2 linked regions of the Saccharomyces cerevisiae S288C genome follow. The gene in region 2 interacts genetically with the main gene of each other region. Each region holds a gene or a part of one and is shown on either strand. Other genes may lie near its edges.

Region 1 (5,565 bases), on a different chromosome or scaffold from region 2:
CAGATTGGATAAGCTGTTATCTCGCTAATTGTCCCGTATCTGAGAATTCCCAGGAAATACCAAATGTGTTCCAAATACAATCCTTTTTGGCTCCTGTTACCACGACGGCCACCATTGGGTTTATAAAACGCCTGAAACAATATTGTGATCAGCACAGTCATGATAGTTCGAATGAAGGCTTACAATCAATGATTCAATGTCTGTTGGTCGTCTCATTAGATATTAAACAACAATTTCAAGCAAGAAAAATTCTAAAACAAATTGTTGTATTTACAGACAATTTAGATGATCTGGATATTACTGATGAAGAAATAGACCTGCTAACGGAAGAATTAAGCACAAGAATCATTTTGATTGATTGCGGTAAAGACACTCAAGAGGAGAGGAAAAAATCGAACTGGTTAAAGTTGGTCGAAGCGATACCGAATTCAAGAATCTACAATATGAATGAACTTCTTGTTGAAATCACTTCCCCAGCAACATCTGTCGTTAAGCCAGTAAGAGTATTCTCAGGCGAGCTTAGGTTAGGGGCAGATATATTATCAACACAAACATCGAATCCTAGCGGCAGCATGCAAGATGAAAATTGCTTATGTATCAAGGTAGAGGCTTTTCCTGCTACGAAAGCAGTTTCAGGCTTAAATAGGAAAACCGCTGTTGAGGTGGAAGACTCCCAGAAGAAAGAAAGGTATGTGGGGGTCAAATCCATAATCGAATATGAAATTCACAACGAAGGAAATAAGAAAAATGTCAGTGAAGATGACCAGTCTGGATCGTCATACATTCCCGTGACCATCTCCAAAGACTCTGTAACGAAGGCATACCGTTATGGTGCAGACTACGTAGTGCTACCGTCCGTTCTAGTCGATCAAACTGTATATGAATCTTTTCCAGGCTTGGATTTAAGAGGATTTTTGAATAGAGAAGCTCTTCCAAGGTACTTTTTGACGTCGGAATCCTCCTTCATTACCGCCGACACAAGACTTGGCTGTCAATCTGACTTAATGGCTTTCAGTGCTCTAGTGGATGTTATGCTAGAAAATAGAAAAATTGCTGTTGCAAGATATGTGAGCAAGAAAGACAGTGAAGTGAATATGTGTGCATTGTGTCCCGTTCTAATTGAGCACAGTAACATTAATTCCGAGAAGAAGTTTGTTAAGAGCCTTACCTTGTGTAGATTACCATTCGCGGAAGACGAGAGGGTAACTGATTTTCCAAAACTTCTGGATCGAACAACTACATCCGGGGTACCGCTGAAAAAGGAAACAGACGGGCATCAAATCGATGAGCTTATGGAACAATTTGTAGATTCAATGGATACAGATGAGCTACCAGAGATTCCGTTAGGCAACTACTATCAACCCATAGGCGAAGTAACAACAGACACCACTCTCCCACTTCCCTCTTTAAATAAAGACCAAGAGGAAAACAAAAAGGATCCTCTTAGAATACCCACGGTTTTTGTCTACAGGCAACAACAGGTGCTACTGGAATGGATTCACCAACTGATGATCAATGATTCCAGGGAATTTGAAATCCCAGAGCTTCCTGACTCATTGAAAAACAAAATAAGTCCTTACACGCACAAGAAATTTGATAGCACAAAATTGGTTGAAGTGCTCGGCATCAAGAAAGTAGACAAATTAAAACTCGACTCCGAACTAAAAACTGAGCTTGAGAGGGAAAAGATCCCGGACCTAGAAACGCTATTGAAGCGCGGTGAACAACACAGTAGGGGAAGTCCAAACAATAGCAATAATTAAAAAAGGTCTAACATCCTTTGAGTTATGTTTTCGTCACCACAGTTAAAGAGAAAAAAAAATAAATAGCGGGTAAATAATTGTCATACTACTGATTTGCATTGTTACCTTGTAACTTTGAACACTAGCCATGCAGGTTGCTTTTCCTCCTTTACACCTTCCCCCCTGTCGCTGTTCAAAAGTAAATGCAACAACAATAAAACGTGGGTAGAGGACGTTCCCTGTATGTACTAAAATCATACTATCATCCGTTGAGGTCGAGCGGTTCTCTAATCTCAACACACGCTGCTGCCCCTGAGCTTGCGAGCTAAGGACAACAGGGCCAACTTGTTCTTTCTAGGGGGGAGAGGCCCAACTTAGGCTCGGTGAAGAGAAGCGCGGAGCTCACGAAAAGGGGTGGTGTCGCGCACTACTTTTTTCGTGGGGAACTTACGTGAAAGGGGACGTTATACTTTTGTTATGTGCAGTTCCAGGAACAAACAGGGGTTGAAAAGTGTAAAAGAAATAGTTGATTCTTTCAGAATCTGGATGACTGCCGCCCGAACAATGTGGGAAATATAAAAAGGTACCGTTAATATTGTTTCATTTTCGAAGATAGTGTTCCATGTCTTTCTTCAGCGTTGCTTGAACAATAGGATAATAAGAAGAAGATCAACCAATCTTTCTCAGTAAAAAAAGTAACAAAAGTTAACATAACATGTCATTTCAAATTGAAACGGTTCCCACCAAACCATATGAAGACCAAAAGCCTGGTACCTCTGGTTTGCGTAAGAAGACAAAGGTGTTTAAAGACGAACCTAACTACACAGAAAATTTCATTCAATCGATCATGGAAGCTATTCCAGAGGGTTCTAAAGGTGCCACTCTTGTTGTCGGTGGTGATGGGCGTTACTACAATGATGTCATTCTTCATAAGATTGCCGCTATCGGTGCTGCCAACGGTATTAAAAAGTTAGTTATTGGCCAGCATGGTCTTCTGTCTACGCCAGCCGCTTCTCACATCATGAGAACCTACGAGGAAAAATGTACTGGTGGTATTATCTTAACCGCCTCACATAATCCAGGTGGTCCAGAAAATGACATGGGTATTAAGTATAACTTATCCAATGGGGGTCCTGCTCCTGAATCCGTCACAAATGCTATTTGGGAGATTTCCAAAAAGCTTACCAGCTATAAGATTATCAAAGACTTCCCAGAACTAGACTTGGGTACGATAGGCAAGAACAAGAAATACGGTCCATTACTCGTTGACATTATCGATATTACAAAAGATTATGTCAACTTCTTGAAGGAAATCTTCGATTTCGACTTAATCAAGAAATTCATCGATAATCAACGTTCTACTAAGAATTGGAAGTTACTGTTTGACAGTATGAACGGTGTAACTGGACCATACGGTAAGGCTATTTTCGTTGATGAATTTGGTTTACCGGCGGATGAGGTTTTACAAAACTGGCATCCTTCTCCGGATTTTGGTGGTATGCATCCAGATCCAAACTTAACTTATGCCAGTTCGTTAGTGAAAAGAGTAGATCGTGAAAAGATTGAGTTTGGTGCTGCATCCGATGGTGATGGTGATAGAAATATGATTTACGGTTACGGCCCATCTTTCGTTTCTCCAGGTGACTCCGTCGCAATTATTGCCGAATATGCAGCTGAAATCCCATATTTCGCCAAGCAAGGTATATATGGTCTGGCCCGTTCATTCCCTACCTCAGGAGCCATAGACCGTGTTGCCAAGGCCCATGGTCTAAACTGTTATGAGGTCCCAACTGGCTGGAAATTTTTCTGTGCTTTGTTCGACGCTAAAAAATTATCTATTTGTGGTGAAGAATCGTTTGGTACTGGTTCCAACCACGTAAGGGAAAAGGACGGTGTTTGGGCCATTATGGCGTGGTTGAACATCTTGGCCATTTACAACAAGCATCATCCGGAGAACGAAGCTTCTATTAAGACGATACAGAATGAATTCTGGGCAAAGTACGGCCGTACTTTCTTCACTCGTTATGATTTTGAAAAAGTTGAAACAGAAAAAGCTAACAAGATTGTCGATCAATTGAGAGCATATGTTACCAAATCGGGTGTTGTTAATTCCGCCTTCCCAGCCGATGAGTCTCTTAAGGTCACCGATTGTGGTGATTTTTCATACACAGATTTGGACGGTTCTGTTTCTGACCATCAAGGTTTATATGTCAAGCTTTCCAATGGTGCAAGATTCGTTCTAAGATTGTCAGGTACAGGTTCTTCAGGTGCTACCATTAGATTGTACATTGAAAAATACTGCGATGATAAATCACAATACCAAAAGACAGCTGAAGAATACTTGAAGCCAATTATTAACTCGGTCATCAAGTTCTTGAACTTTAAACAAGTTTTAGGAACTGAAGAACCAACGGTTCGTACTTAAAACGAATGATTTACTAATGGCTTAATGATTTTCACCTTTTTCAATGAATATTAACGGTAAAGAAGAAAATTTCAATTTTTTGAACACATACTTTATATACTTAATAGATCCATATTTCGACATATTAGCAAACGATTGCATAGGTTTCTGAGTCTTTTTTTTTTTTTTTTCATAAGGAGGAGAATATTTTGGTTAATCGCAGTATCTTCTTCATAAGTGCTGTTTCTAATTATATCTAATTCACGAATTTTTCCCAAATTAGCGTATCCCCGAATTCAGATTACCTACCCCGAGTTTTTTATTATATTTCCCTCGAGAAATCTGTAAAATGGCCGTCATCCTTAGATTTATAAATAAAATGATAAAATTCAGCCAAAGTGCTCCTAAACCAGAATTGTTCAACTGGGTCAAATTATCGCGTATACAAATATACATATAGTAACATGCATTCCTGGCGAATATCCAAGTTTAAGTTAGGAAGGTCCAAAGAAGATGATGGGAGTAGTGAAGATGAAAATGAAAAATCGTGGGGTAATGGCCTGTTTCATTTCCACCATGGAGAAAAACATCACGATGGTAGCCCGAAGAATCATAATCATGAACACGAACACCATATAAGAAAGATCAATACAAATGAGACTCTCCCAAGTTCCTTAAGTTCTCCAAAATTACGTAATGATGCATCCTTCAAGAATCCATCGGGGATAGGAAATGACAATTCTAAGGCTTCCGAAAGGAAAGCTAGTCAGTCGTCTACTGAGACGCAGGGACCGAGTTCGGAATCCGGACTAATGACAGTGAAGGTGTATTCTGGTAAAGATTTTACTCTTCCCTTCCCTATCACCTCTAACTCTACTATTTTACAAAAACTACTAAGTTCCGGCATCCTTACTTCATCATCCAATGACGCTTCCGAAGTTGCAGCCATAATGCGGCAGCTACCACGATACAAGAGAGTGGATCAAGATTCAGCAGGGGAAGGCTTGATAGATAGAGCTTTTGCCACTAAATTCATTCCTTCCTCTATATTGTTACCTGGGTCAACAAATTCAAGCCCATTACTTTATTTTACAATTGAATTTGATAATTCTATTACTACTATTAGTCCAGATATGGGAACGATGGAGCAACCAGTGTTTAACAAAATATCGACATTTGATGTAACAAGAAAATTACGATTTTTAAAAATCGATGTCTTTGCAAGGATTCCATCCCTACTTTTACCCTCTAAAAACTGGCAACAGGAGATTGGCGAGCAGGACGAAGTACTGAAGGAGATTTTAAAAAAAATCAATACAAATCAGGATATCCATTTGGACTCCTTCCATTTACCTTTGAATTTAAAAATCGATTCTGCAGCCCAAATAAGACTATACAATCACCATTGGATTTCTTTAG
Region 2 (4,610 bases):
GTGTTATGGAAAGCAATAATTCAGCAAGGAATAGAAGAGATTCAAGGGCCTCCTTTTCCACAAATAGATCATCAGTAGTGTCAAATTCCAGCCATAATGGTGTTAGTAAAAAAATAGGTGGATTTTTCAGAAGACCATTTTCAATCGGTGGATTCAACACATCCAGTTCTAATTATTCACTCAACAGTATATTATCGCAAGAAGTTTCAAGTAACAAATCCATTCTACCAAGTATACTTCCAGAGGTTGATTCCATGCAACTACACGACTTAAAACCTAGTTATAGTTTGAAGACCTTTGAAATCAAGTCAATAATGGAAATAATCAATCACAGAAACATTCCGGCTTACTACTATGCGTTCAAGATAGTTATGCAAAATGGCCATGAATATCTGATTCAAACGGCTAGTTCTAGTGACCTCACAGAATGGATAAAAATGATCAAGGCTTCCAAGAGATTTTCATTCCATTCGAAAAAATATAAAGGTAAAACTCATAATAAGATATTTGGGGTACCATTAGAAGACGTTTGTGAAAGAGAGAATACCTTGATACCTACAATTGTTGTGAAATTGCTGGAAGAGATTGAGCTGCGTGGGCTAGATGAAGTGGGATTGTACAGAATTCCTGGTTCCATCGGCAGTATAAATGCACTAAAGAACGCATTTGACGAAGAAGGTGCAACAGATAATTCCTTTACATTAGAGGACGATAGATGGTTTGAAGTGAATGCGATCGCAGGCTGTTTTAAGATGTATTTAAGAGAGTTACCAGATTCTTTATTTTCTCATGCTATGGTGAACGACTTTACCGATTTGGCGATTAAGTATAAAGCACATGCAATGGTAAATGAAGAATACAAGAGAATGATGAATGAGTTACTCCAAAAGTTACCTACATGCTATTACCAAACTTTGAAAAGAATTGTATTTCATTTGAATAAAGTACATCAGCATGTTGTAAATAATAAAATGGACGCATCAAACTTGGCTATTGTATTTTCCATGAGTTTTATAAACCAAGAAGACTTAGCCAACAGCATGGGGTCCAGATTAGGTGCAGTTCAGACAATCCTGCAAGATTTTATTAAGAATCCAAATGATTATTTCAAGCAATAAACAATTTTCGTGGTAAATGTATACAATCCACTGCTGAGAGAGAAAAAATTTGGTCCCGCCTATCGAGGGTTTGAGTTTTATATTTTTATATTTACAGAGAGATATAGAGCCTTTATTCATTTTTTGTTATTAATGAAGTTTGATTTGTGAACAATTTTGATTTTGGAATTCTGCCTCTTCTCCTTGAAGCTTTCTTGTAACTTCTTCTCATTATCTTGCATCAATTGCCTTCTTTCCGCCTGATCTCTTGCCTTTTGAATGTTATGTTTTAATGATTGGAAGATGCCCATGTTCTCTGTGGGGGAAGCGCCAGCGATAGGAGTCCTTGGTTTAGCTACTTCTGTTATCTTCAGTTTCGAACGAACCCATTTGTTTCTCAAAATCATTGTCTGTAGGACGGAGAAGGCACCATTAAAGGCAAAGTAGAGGACCACAGCGGACGATAAGTTCATTGTGGCCGGTATAGAAATGATCGGTAGAATAGTGAAAAGACGCTTCATGGGAGAACTGAATTGTTGAGCACCAGTCTCACCCCCCAGCCTTGTAAATGAGATGAACACAGCGGCAGTGATTACTTGCAAACCTAAGTAAGGGTCTGCTTGAGTCAAGTCTGTAAACCAAGCGACACCTTGATTAGCGAACCCATCTACTGGGTAGTTAGCCATGTGTCTCAATGCGTTGAAAAACCCAAGGGCGATTGGAATTTGTAGCATGGGTGCGGCCAGCCATCTGTTCTTAATGCCGTGCGAGGAGAGCAGTTTTTTCCTTTGCATGGCGACTAGCTGACCTTGTTGCAAATCTGTAGTGGACATTAGCTTATTATTCAAGGCGTCCAGCTCGGGCTTGATATGGGAATTTCTAGCAACAGTATCAGAGGACTTGACATAGAGGGGAAACATCAGGCATCGAATGAGGATGGTGGTGGCCGCGATAGTTCCCCACCAAGGCAACCCAGAGTAAACATGAACGGCCTCCAAGACGTGTTGGATAATGTCCGAGGGCCAGTACCAGGTTTGGGCCAGGCCAATGCTATTTAAGTACCCTATATGGGAGGACAACTCGCCCACTGTTTGGGTCGTGTTAGCGATAAGGTCCGAAGTAGAAGCGGAAAGAGAAGGAGCTGAAGAGGTTAATTCATCGATGGAAGGCAACTGGGTTTGGATTTCCGAGACATCGTTGGCATTTGGGCCCGTCGAATTAAATCTTTTGGCCTGAAAAGAGATCCATGACGGATGGGGCCGGGGCAATACTATGGTTCGAGCGGTGGCCAGTCTGGAAGAGGCAGCAAACCTTGACGTGACGAGTCGAGAGGTGAGTTTGAACATCGTCGGGGAGGTTATTCTGTGGCTCCGCTTGTACGTGAACAGATACGTATAGAGGGCGAGCCACTGGTTAAATTTTTCATGGCTCGGATTACTTCCGTACTGCTGGCTAAAATCGAAATCTCGGCCTGCTGAGAGTGTTTTGAGCAATCAAGGGAACATCTGAACGTGGAAGAGCAGACGAGGCATTAGCTCGAACATAAGAACGGAACACGTCATGTTGACTATCACGAAAAGACTGGTGACCACCGATGTGCGGTCGCGAATACTGTTAAGCAGTTTAAACGGGAAAATGTCCGATGCACTGGCGCTGCTGCGTCAGCAGCAGCAGACCAGCGTGGATGTGGAGCTGCTGCACACGATGCTAGCGCGAGCCGCTGCGCTTGCCCATGCCGACACTATAGCATACATGTGGTATCAGCATGTGATGCCACGCCGGTTGCCAGTAGAGGGCCGCCTGCTATGTGAAATGGCTGGCGTAGCATTGTACCAGGACAGGCTCTTCTTACCCGCGCAGTTCCTCCAGCACTACCAGGCGATGAATCGCGATCGTCGCACCAGCCCAGAAGATGAACTGATTGAGTATGAGCTTAGACGGATTAAAGTCGAAGCGTTTGCGCGTGGCACAATGCACTCCACGGCGCTCAGGGAAAAGTGGAAGGTATTCTTGCAGGAGATGGATACGCTACCAGGGCAGCCGCCATTAAGGCTGCGCGACTTCCCGCAAATGACCAAGGCTATGGGCATAGCATTGATGCAGCAAGATGAGCAAGCAGCTGCCCTGGCGTTGTTTGGACGACAGCCCCTAGTGATAAAGAACGAATGGTCACTACCGCTACTACTGGCTGGTGTCCTTTGGCATGTTCCCGGCCCAGCGCAGGCGCGACGTGTGCTGGCGGAGTTCCGTCAAAGTTATCGCGGGCTGCCGCTGCTGGATGCCGAACTAGTGATAAAGAGAAGAGGATTTGAAATCAACACATAAATCTGGGTGGAGCATCGCTGTAACAAGGAACAACGCGTGCTAGCAAGCGGTAATGAAATACAAGGAAATCAATTTCTTCAAGGGCCATCCGAGCTCGAGGTTGCTGCCTCGAGAAGCAGTAATTCAAGCGACTGCGGCTATATTGGGGCCCGAGACCAGGGAGTACGATAACGACCCCTATAACAGGCATCCGCTGACGTACGGTTCGGACGAAGGTGCCCTGTGGGTGCGAGAGCAGATTTGTACGTTTCTGAATGATCAGCTGTTTAAGTTCGAAAATGGGGCTCGGAGCAGGACACGGGCAGACTATTTGAATCTGAATAGCGGCGCTTCGTATGGCATGCTGAACATCCTTCTGCAAACAACCTTGCCACATAACGGGTATACCAGGCAGGCGTTCATCATCACGCCAACATATTTCTTGATCAACAATTGCTTCACAGATGCGGGATTCAAGGGGAAAATGACCGCCATCAACGAGCAGGGCCACGACTCGATTGATTTCGAGTCGTTGATTTCTGCCCTTGAGCAGCACGAGGCGGAGCCGCAGCCCCATAGTACCACAGAGATGATTCAGGGGCCAAAGTTGACCAAGAAGGTCTACAGGTACGTTATGTACTGCATCCCGACGTTTGCAAACCCATCGGGAAACACATACTCGCTTGAGACCAGACGCAGACTTATCGACATCGCTCGGAAGTACGACATGCTGATAATCACTGATGACGTGTACGATATTCTAGATTACACGACGCCCTCAGATGAGCTGCCCTCTCCGCCCCTAAGGATGGTGCACATAGACAGAAGTACAGCGCCCTCCGGTGAGGACTCGTTCGGGAATACAGTGTCCAACGCAACTTTCTCCAAGCTGATCGCCCCTGGGCTCAGATTTGGATACCATGAGTCAATCAACGCGAATCTCGCCAGACAGCTATCTAAAGGTGGTGCAAACGTCTCTGGCGGAACTCCCTCACAACTGAACTCCATGATCGTGGGTGAGATGCTGCGTAGTGGTGCCGCCCAGAGATGCATTGCACATCTGAGATCCGTATACTCCGAGAGGGCCACTGTCTTGACCTCGGCGCTTAAGAAATACATGCCCCTAGGAACCGAGATTATGCCATTGAAGGGCGGCTATTTTACTTGGATCACTCTCCCACCAGCGTACAATGCCATGGAGATATCCAC

What was found. A genetic interaction does not mean that the proteins touch.
Region 1: mutations in PET122 (region 2) and PGM2 together harm fitness more than expected from each alone (negative genetic interaction), as found in Saccharomyces cerevisiae (2 studies listed by BioGRID).

Annotation. Positions count from the first base shown.
Region 1 is NC_001145.3:474,499-480,063, reverse strand, and holds PGM2 (phosphoglucomutase PGM2), read left to right. Parts: upstream 1-2,457; coding exon 2,458-4,167; downstream 4,168-5,565. Other genes in the region: ATP-dependent DNA helicase YKU80, read left to right, coding at 1-1,763; YMR105W-A (uncharacterized protein), read right to left, coding at 1,806-2,000; putative protein kinase YPK2, read left to right, coding at 4,611-5,565. UniProt on the Saccharomyces cerevisiae protein: Major phosphoglucomutase isozyme that catalyzes the reversible isomerization of alpha-D-glucose 1-phosphate to alpha-D-glucose 6-phosphate. The mechanism proceeds via the intermediate compound alpha-D-glucose 1,6-bisphosphate.
Region 2 is NC_001137.3:472,853-477,462, reverse strand, and holds PET122 (Pet122p), read left to right. Parts: upstream 1-2,657; coding exon 2,658-3,422; downstream 3,423-4,610. Other genes in the region: GTPase-activating protein BEM2, read left to right, coding at 1-1,118; membrane insertase OXA1, read right to left, coding at 1,235-2,443; YER152C (2-aminoadipate transaminase), read left to right, coding at 3,475-4,610. UniProt on the Saccharomyces cerevisiae protein: Required for expression of the mitochondrial gene for cytochrome c oxidase subunit 3 (COX3). PET122 seems to work by directly interacting with the small ribosomal subunit to promote translation initiation on the COX3 mRNA.